2 linked regions of the Rattus norvegicus genome follow. The protein of the gene in region 1 interacts with the protein of each later gene in a biochemical or structural test. Links are inferred from orthologs where the notes say so. Each region holds a gene or a part of one and is shown on either strand. Other genes may lie near its edges.

Evidence for each region.
Region 2: the proteins of Nherf2 (region 1) and Abcc4 form a complex in vitro, tested with the Homo sapiens proteins (2 studies listed by BioGRID and IntAct, with this or other methods). The link is inferred for Rattus norvegicus from reciprocal best matches to the Homo sapiens genes NHERF2 and ABCC4.

What each region holds. Positions count from the first base shown.
Region 1 is NC_086028.1:14,174,283-14,178,901, forward strand, and holds the start of Nherf2 (Na(+)/H(+) exchange regulatory cofactor NHE-RF2), read right to left. Parts: upstream 3,238-4,619; 5' UTR 3,163-3,237; coding exon 2,950-3,162; intron 710-2,949; coding exon 509-709; intron 1-508.
Region 2 is NC_086033.1:102,179,985-102,184,665, forward strand, and holds the start of Abcc4 (ATP-binding cassette subfamily C member 4), read right to left. Parts: upstream 2,929-4,681; 5' UTR 1,381-2,928; coding exon 1,307-1,380; intron 1-1,306. UniProt on the Homo sapiens protein: ATP-dependent transporter of the ATP-binding cassette (ABC) family that actively extrudes physiological compounds and xenobiotics from cells.

The sequences.
Region 1 (4,619 bases):
AGGAACTGGAACCCAGTTGAGCTGTACCTGTGTCCTCATAAGAAGCGTCCGCACGTGGGCCCTCCACTCCCTTTCCCTAGGAAGCCCCTGTGTTCTGGATCCCACACACTCCCGCCCACCCCCATCACTGAGCGGCTACAGCACTAATCCCTGATGTAGGATCTAATCCACCCAAGGGCTTCAGAGCACACGGATGGCTTAGACATGGATGCTTCAGACAGAGTCGTGGACAAAACCCAGGATGACAGATACCTAACACAGACATTCAGATCTTTAGAGCCACAGTAACTCCTCAGCCACTGGGACCTCCAGCAGAGGGAACAAAGGCCAAAAGAGTTGCTTCAGGTGGTCACCAATGGCACAGAGTGGCTACTGCAGTAGGGAAAGAGCCCTAAGAGGAAACGGAGGCTTATAGGAGTGACCAAAGGGAAGATTGTTATCAAGAGGCAGTCAGCGATGGTGGTTCTGGGAAAGACTCATTGTTCCCACAGACAAAAGCCCACCATACCTTCTGGCCTGTGTCCGAGCCAAGACTGCCTGAGCATGCCCAGTCCGGCTTTGGCTCCCAGGGGTTGTGGGCTGGCGGAAGCCCTCGATGGGCCATCTCCTCAGTGCAGGTCAGTTGCCGCCGGCAGAGTTCCTCATCTGTCTCCTTGTCCACCACAAGCAGCTGGGTCTGTCCCTCCACAGCCTTGATCCTCTGGACCACCTGGAATGGGTGTGAAGCAGGACCCGGTCAGCAGGCAACACCCTGGGCAACACATGGATAGGGCACCACTCCCGGCTAGGCCCAGGCTCATGGACAGAGGGCAGGGGTTGGCCTGCCAGGGGTGGGTAGCTGGACTGAGAGGCCTGCGGGCTCCACCCCCCACCCCCAGTTTCCAGCAGCTCCCTCCCTCGTCTCCCTGGAGCTAGGGCCCAGGCTGCAAGTACTTCAGGGTTCTCTTGTGGCCTTGTGTTCTCGGCAGGTGGGCTCCGGAGGAGCTGCTAGGAACAGCCAGATGGGAGAGTCAGAATCTGTTTAGTTGAGCTTCAGGATTTCAGTCTGGTCTGTGCATGGGTACGTGCTTAACTGTGTGTGTGCGTGAGTGTGTGTGTGTGTGTGTGTGTGTGTGTGTGTGTGTGTGTGCATGTGCATATGTGTATGCTTTGTGTGTATGTGTGCATATATGTGTGTGCTTTCTGTACGTGTGTGTGTGTGTCTATTTTAAAGTCTGGGGTTTTGGTCCAGGTGTAGGAGAGAGCAATGTCTTTGTTGACCCCAACTTCAATTTGCCTCCAACCAGGACCAGAAACCCATCCCTGCTGGACCTGCTTAGAGGTGAAGACCTAGGAATTCTAAGGTGCTCACACACGTCAGGTAAGCAGAACTCATCTCCAGCAGGTACCGAAGCAGAACAGATCTGCGTATCTGTCTGGATGGGTTGGATGGGTGCCTGTGAAGTGTGGGCCACCGTGGATCACGCAGGATGTTAGTATGTGTTCAAAGGGAAAAGTGCCCAGTGGACATCTGAAGGGCAGGAAGCATTAACAACCCCACCCCACAGCCTGGGAGTGAAGAGGCAGGATCTCCAGCGTGACTCCATGGAGTACATACCACCACAGATATGAAGGTCCTACCCAGCCAGGCCCATCTTTACCTGGCCCCTCAGTGATCGTCCAAGATGACCAAGAGAGCAGAAGGATCCCAGCACTAAGGAGCTAAGCCAGTCACCCACAATCTCTACATATCAGTAGAATGGGAGTCTTGGTTTTGCCTCCTATCTCCCTGAGCAGTAGAAGGATTCTACTGTGGCTCTATGTGAAAGTCTTTAGAGACTAGACTAGACAGCTGCATTCCAGCGACGGCTAGACGCAGGTAATACCAACTCTGCCAGCCTCTCCCTTGCTTTTAGGGCCAACCACTGGGCTTCACTCCCAAACTCTTCAGCACACAACCAAATCCAGTGGTCACAAGGCAGGTCGCCGGGAAGATAGAAGTTCAACTTTAGCCCAGCAAAGAGCCACTCTGCTTCCTCCAAGCCTCAGGACTGACCACTCACGTAGGTCTTGGACTTAGTGGTACTAGGGTTCCAGAATAAAAAAGGTGAAGGGAGACTGAACCCTAATCAAGGTTTTAACTGTGTCTACCCCTCGGTGGAATACGGACATCCCAGAGGTAGGATCTGCAGAGAGACTCCGCCACATCAGCCCTCCTCCTTCCAGCTGCCAGCAGGCAAGGGTTGCACAGTGACCTCTACAGGGCCAGGCAGCTCCCAGGAGGAGGCTTTTTCTGAGCCCAAGGAATAGGCTGCCACTAGAGCTGACTCCACCAGACCCAGACACACCAGCCATGAGAAGTACACTAGTATAACCAGGCAGGCAGGCACTCGTGAGCTCGCACAGGCGCGCGCACACACACACACACACACACACACACACACACGCACAGAGTCAGCACACATACCTGATGTGTCTACACAAACCTAAGCACACATTCCAGCACTGACACAAGTATGCTCTCAGCCACTCCTGGAACACTTGGGTAGTGTATTCATATGGATGACCCCAGGGAGACCCGCAAGCACACACACATAACTCACACACGAACAGAAATGCATCTATACCACAAGGCCACAAGGTGCCTTCACCACCTCCTCCCCCTCCATGGCACACGGAGGCCAAAACTAGCAGAAGCAGCCAGGGCCCTGGCCAGAGTAGCCGCAGTGCGGCCCCTCCCTACCAGGATGTCCTCCCTCCCCCGCTTGTGCAGGACTGAGCTTCCTCACCAGGAGGCCAGCTGGCGGGCCACGTCCCACACCTCAGTACCCGAACAGCAGGCCCCCATGGGACCCTTGACCGGTCCCACGATAGGGCACGCCGAAGGGTGGTCGAAGGCATCTTGGCCAGCGCAGTAGGGATGCGCCCCTAGGAGGGAACCGGGGGGCGGGGCGCAGCGCAGGGACCCACCTGGTGATGCGTCTCGCCCTCTACGTTGACGCCGTTGACCTCAACCAGGCGGTCCCCGGCGCGCAGCGCGGCCGCCTCGGCTGGGGAGCCTGGCTCCACGCGCCGGATGAACTGGCCACGGCGGCCTTTCTCGCCATGCAGGTGGAAGCCGTACCCTTGCTCGCCCCGCACCAGGCGACACAAGCGGGGCCGCAGCGACTCCGGCGCGGCCATGGCACCCGCTGCCCCCTGGCTGCCCGCGACTGGCCACGGCTCACACCACCCGCAGGCTGGAGCGCGGAGGCGGCAGAGGCGCGGGCGGGAGAGCAGGCAGCGGCCTCGGTGGCTCCTGCTCAGCTCGCGTCGCCTCGGGCTCCGACTTCGGCTCTGGCCCTGGCCCCTGCTCCTGCTGCAGCACCGCCCCCGCGCCCGCCCCTTCCCCGCCCTCCTGGCTGCCCCCGCCCTAGCCTAAGCCCCGCTAGCTAGGCCCCTGCCTGGGCGCCCAGAAACCCTAGGACTAAGGAGTGGGATTTCGCGGTCAGGCAACCCTCGAGTTCCTGGGAGTCCTATCTTATCCCATTTGGTCACCTTCCCTAGCGCCAGCACCTTTGGCTTCTGTTCCAGGAACCACTTTTTTTTTAGACACCTGCATATGCTACAGTGAGAGGGGTTCCTGAAATGGGAAGCCTCTTAGAGAAAGGGTCCAGTCAGAGACACACTACACAGACGCCAGAGGGGAAGTGCAAGGACCACTGCGCCCCTTCCTGGGATGCACCCCACCCTCTACCTATCGGGACTGTGCTGCCTGCTCCCTCTAGGTCCCCAAAGTTGTCTCATCCTGACCCAGAGAGCAACAGGCAAGAATAAGAAATTTAAAGAGACTACAGCAACCAAGGTCTTTGGGGCCAGCAAGTAGGTGGCCCCTGTTCCACCCAGCAAGTGTCTGTCTTCCGTATTCCCCTGTTTTTTGGGAACATGAGTTTATCTGGCAGAGATGGGAGGTATGTGCTGCCTTCCTCTAGACCCAGTATGAACTGTGCTAAGGACTTTGGCCCCTGAGCTCTAGGTGGTGATCTGTTGTCCCAAATTAAGCACCACAGGGTTCCCATTCCCGGTTCCTAGGTCTGTAGTCAACACATTCTTAGATTTACAATTGCTTAAGTTCTCATCTCCCCTTACAGGACAACAGTCCCACTGAGAACCCCTTATGCATTCGTACATGGTTTTCCAAGAACAACCCTAGAGAAAACCGACCATTTTACAGACCAGGACACTGAGGCCTGGAGAAAATCCTCTACTAGAGTCCAGTACTGTGAGACTGCACTTTCACCTTAAAGCTTCCTCCCAGGCTGAGATCTCACCCGCAGCCTGCTTCTCCCCAGTGCACAGCTCCTCACTTACCTGGTCCCCCTGAGTCAGGTAAAGCCAGCTCAGACAGTTCCCCATGTGGATAGGAGATGCGCCCCTAGCTCAATGTTCTCCTCTCCCTCCCCTCTCTCCAGAGCCCTTAACTGGGGCTTTCCACCTCCACCCAAGCACTAGGACCCGCCTCTCAGCAGCATCCTAGCCTTAGCCTCTTGGGTACCCACACCCTAGTGGCTGCTCCTGAAAGGCACTTAAGCTGTAGATACATTGTTGCTCCCTGCCCCCAGCCTTCTCTGCAGATTCTAACTGATGCTGCCACAGGCTCT
Region 2 (4,681 bases), on another chromosome or scaffold:
GTGTGTTGCCAAAAGCCCAGGAGACTGAGACAGTCCGCCTGCTTTGAGTATTATTATATTATTATTATTATTATTATTATTATTATTAATTTCCCACACATCCCTTATTATGCTCCTCTTTACCGAGTGTCCAAAAGGATCCTGCACACACTGTATCGGCAATTGGAACAACAGTAAATGACTCCGAAACTCCCTAGGCTTTCTCATTTTAAAAGGGGAACATTAGAACGTGAGAAAGACAACATGGCAGAGGTCAAGAAATAAAAACTATTCTAGTTAGCCAAGCGTGCCCTAGCCAGCCCAGGTTACTAGGTGGAAAACTACTTAGGAATGTCGTTTATCTAAGCCTCTTCACCTGTTTCCTACAACGAGAGGGGCGGGGCTGGGGCCAGATCAGATCTGGGAACCCACTCAGTGGTTTTAGGCATCGAGAACATGGATCCTGTCTCTGAGGACTACGGATCTTGATAAGACCCCCACCACCACCACAGGCTTCAGAAACTCATCCCCAAGAGTGATATGGTCATCAAAGGCAGAAGGGAAAAAAAGTCCATCTAACAAGGAAAAGCATATTCCTCTACCCTCCTTCAGTCAAGAGGGAAACGTCATGCAGATCTTGCTCAAGGGTAGTGTCCCATCATAACTAAATAAGACATCGTAATAAAGTGATCTTTTAACCCACAGCCATAGTAAGATACTAGGACACACACAGAGGGGTCAAAAAGAGAGGCAGGGTCCGGGAAGCTATTAAACTTCCTTCCTTACACACACACACACACACACACTCACTCACACGCAATCGATGAACCTGAAAGATGTCTGGTAAGGTGTTTCGGAAGGCGATGGGGACACTAGCGTTTGGTGTTGGTCCAGGACTCTAGCTTCAGCTGCGATTAGACAAAGCCAGCTGTTAACAGCTGCTTAAAGAAAAATAAAGAGGTGCAGTTTGGGCAAGGGAGTTGTGCAAGCCCTGAACCGAGATGGAAAACTAGCGAAGGTGAGCATGCCGGGTTCACCCTTCCCGGGCACCCTCGCACCTCCCACGGATCCCCACGCTTTCGGGTGGACGCCACCTGTGTCTGCCATCGGTCCCCGCGTGCCCCTCCCGGCGGGGAGCAGCGCGAGCGTGGGGTGCGGGCGGGGACCGCAGGCGGCGCGGCGCACGCGCGGCAAGGAGCCCGGGATGTGTGGCGGTGTAGGGAAAGCATCCTCTGACCGTCCGGGACCAGCGCGGACCACGGACACGCGGCTGAGCCGGCGCGGGGCGTCTCGTGGACGGCGGAACGGGCCCAGGCAGGGCACTCACCAGAAGAACAAGCGCGAGCAGAGGTTGGCGTCCTGCAGCGGGTTGGGTTTCACCTCGGTGTGCACCGGCAGCATCTCGCCCGCGGTGCGTGCGGCCGGGAGGCGGCTCCAGGAGGCGCGGGTGAGGATGTTGGAGCTCCGGCCGCCGCGCCGGTCCGCTCGGCGGGAGCCTCGGAGGCAGGCAGCGGCTTCCGGGAACCCAGCGCCAGCCCGCCCAGACCCCGCCTCCCGGGGTTCCTCGGGGCGCCCGCTACGCGCTGTCGCCGCCGCCTCCTAGAGCCCGGGAGCGGCTTGTCGCGTGAGAGCGCAGGAGAAAGGAGGCTGGGGAAAGGCGGAGACCGCGCGCAGGTGCCGGGCGGCTGCTCGGGGAACACGGAGCCGGGCGGGGAAGCTGCACGTGCTTGGGACCCGTTGCAAACTTTGCAGGAGTTTAAGATCAGCGCCTAAGCACCACCCTGAAGGTGGCGGGGGCGGTGCGTGCTGTGCCCGCCCCCGCGCTCGGAAACGCCCCCTGGGCTCTGCGCTCCTGGAGATCTGGAGAAAGCCGCCTAGCTTTGCCTGCCCTCCCCTGGCATGCTGCCCTCATCAGGACCAAATGGGGTGCTGTAGGAGATTCCCCCACTTGCAGGCCAAGAGTCTGACCTGGAACAACAGCAAGGTTTATCTGTTTGCCTTTCCCGACCTGAAAGCCGTGAAGACAGTCAGGCCACCTGATATTAGGACGCTAGGGTTTGGGGAGATGAACGAATGCTGCCATTTCGGGCGGCTTCTTGACCTTTCTTTCCTACATTGCTTGGCATGGCGGACCTGTGTAAGCAGTTGGCTGTCCTCTTAGATTGGGTAAGGGAAATCAGATAATACACCGCCTGGCCTGTTTCTTTCACCGAGCCCTGAGAGGCTCGCAGAGGATCAGTGGCGAGAGGAACCGATATTACAGGACCCCTCCGTGTGCCGTTCTGTAGACCTACTCCACTTTTAATTTACTTTTCGAGATGGTTTTGCTATTTTACTGAGTAAATTCAGACTCAAGAGATCCAGCTCGTCCGAGAGCATAAGGTTAGTGATGATGAAATCTGATTTGTACTCAAGTTGGCATGTGACCTTGAACTGCTTTAGGGATGGTCAAGTGAGCATGAGAGGTGCCAGGCTGCACTGAGGAAGATACGGTCCTGGCTTTTGGACTCCTGCTCACAAGCCTTGGTTTCTGTGTTAACTGCCTGCCTCTCTGCCCGTTCGGTTCACTTCAGCACTGGGTAAGGAAAGAAGAGCCCTTTAGAATTCACGGTGGTAGGGACAGTTTTACCCGTCCTTTTGATGTGAGAAAATACTCTGACCAGAAGTAGCTCGGGGAAGAAAGGGTTTCTGTCAGGCTTACACTTCCACTGCAACAGTCTCTCCTGGAGAGAAGTCAGGCCAGGAGCTGAAGCCACAACCCTGTTCTGTTGAACTGGTAGTGCTGACTCCAGATGTCCTCACACCATCTCCAATGGGACACTCTCTCACAAAGGCCATAGGTCAAGCCCATCTGGGAAGCTCTTTAGTTAAAGTTCCCGATTTTCTGGTGACTCTAGGTTGTGTCTGGTTGCCAAAAAAAAAAAAACAAAAATAAAATTAACTAAGTCAGCTTTCTTTGGTCATTCCTCCTGTGTTTATTTAAAGGTATAACAATACTCTGTACAGAGTCTTGGTGCAAATAAGCATTTGTTTAGAAGTCAAGTCATGTGTGGTGCCCACAGATTTAATTCCATCAATTTGGAAGTGGAGACAGGAGAAACAACAACTCTAGCCCATCTTTGATGGCTAGGGATTTCCTAGCCAGACAGACATACATGAGAGGTCAGAGAGCAAAAATAAATACAGCTAAAAGGAATTAGCCAGGCAGCAGCACGCTAGGCAGGAAGGTATGAAGTTCAAGATCGATGGGACACCTAGGGAGTTCTAGGTCTAACTGGATATGTAAAGAAGCTGTTTTTAGAGAGAAGAATTGAGACAGGGTCTCATGTATCCCAGGTTAGCCTCTTAACTCCGTAAATAACCAAGGATGACCTGGATCCCCTGATCTCCCAACATCTACCTCCCAGGTGCTGGGATCACAGCCATGTACCGACATGTTATAAATGAGTTTTGGAGCCCAGAGAATATCCCAGTAGGTAAACTGCTTGCCTTATAAGCACAGTGGCCCAAATTCCTCCCACTATCAAAAAAACAGGCATGGTGGCCCACATTCCCAGCTTGGGATGGAAGGCAAGGATCCCTGAGGACGCTGGTCCTCCAGCTTACCCTAATTCACAACTTCCAGTGCAGTTAGAGACCCTGCTCCAAACAAAACATAGAGAGTAGATAGCACATGCACACGCGCGCGCGCACGCAAACACACACACACACACACACACACACACACACACCCGAATTATATGTATTTACATAAAAAGCATATAAAAATATATAATAGATGTAAAGTCTGAGCTCCTCAGGAGGCTGAGGCAGCGGAAGAATATCTTGAGTTAAGGACTTCAGGACCAACCCAAACGACTTATCTGTTTCTGAAAATTAGTTAATTGTTTAATTAATTGGTTAAAACTCAGGTACACAGAGTAGCAAGGTGTTGATGGTTTTGAGCTGAATGACGTTTATTGCATGGCATTCCGTGGCATGTGTTTCAAACATCCTGTTGCAGAAAGGGAAGCATTTCCACAGGAACGCAGAGCTCCCATCCATGCACCCTCGCCCTCCATGGTTTCTCATACGTCAAAATCAACAGGCCTTACCTAGTTCCTGGTGCTCTTTAAAATGCCCTGCATTTTCTAGCCCAGGCGTTTAATCATCTGCCGGTTCTACTTCAAAGCCTGAAATTCAGTTTGGGAAGTTAGCAGTCTAGTGACTTGCCTTGTGTCTGCCCCATCCCCTGCGATAGGGGACTGTGTTGGGACTGCAGATCCCATTAGCAGGCTCCAAACCGTCAAACCTTCCCTTCAGCTTCTACTGAGCAGTGTGCTGGCTTTTAGTTTTGTTGATCTGAGCTACTTCGAAACGTCTTAGCATTCTTTTCTGAACACTAACCAACGTGGCATTTAGAAGGAATACTGAGAGCCGTTGTCTCAGTAAAGAGAGAGGGCTTGTGGGAACAGGGTACGCACTCTTCCTTAACCTCCAGCTTTGCCCCACTCTCGCTTTCCTCAGTCCCGGTCCGCAATGAGGTTCTGAATCCCTGCTCTTGGTCAGGTCGCCCTGAGCCTCTCAACTCCTCAAGGCATTCTGAAGGCAGCGTACAAATGAAAGAAGCTATTCTCATTTGTTTACAAGTCCTGGGGACTGGGGAACAGTTCTTGGTGAGAGATTGCTTAGCATAAGGCCCCGGTGAACCCTCGGCACCACG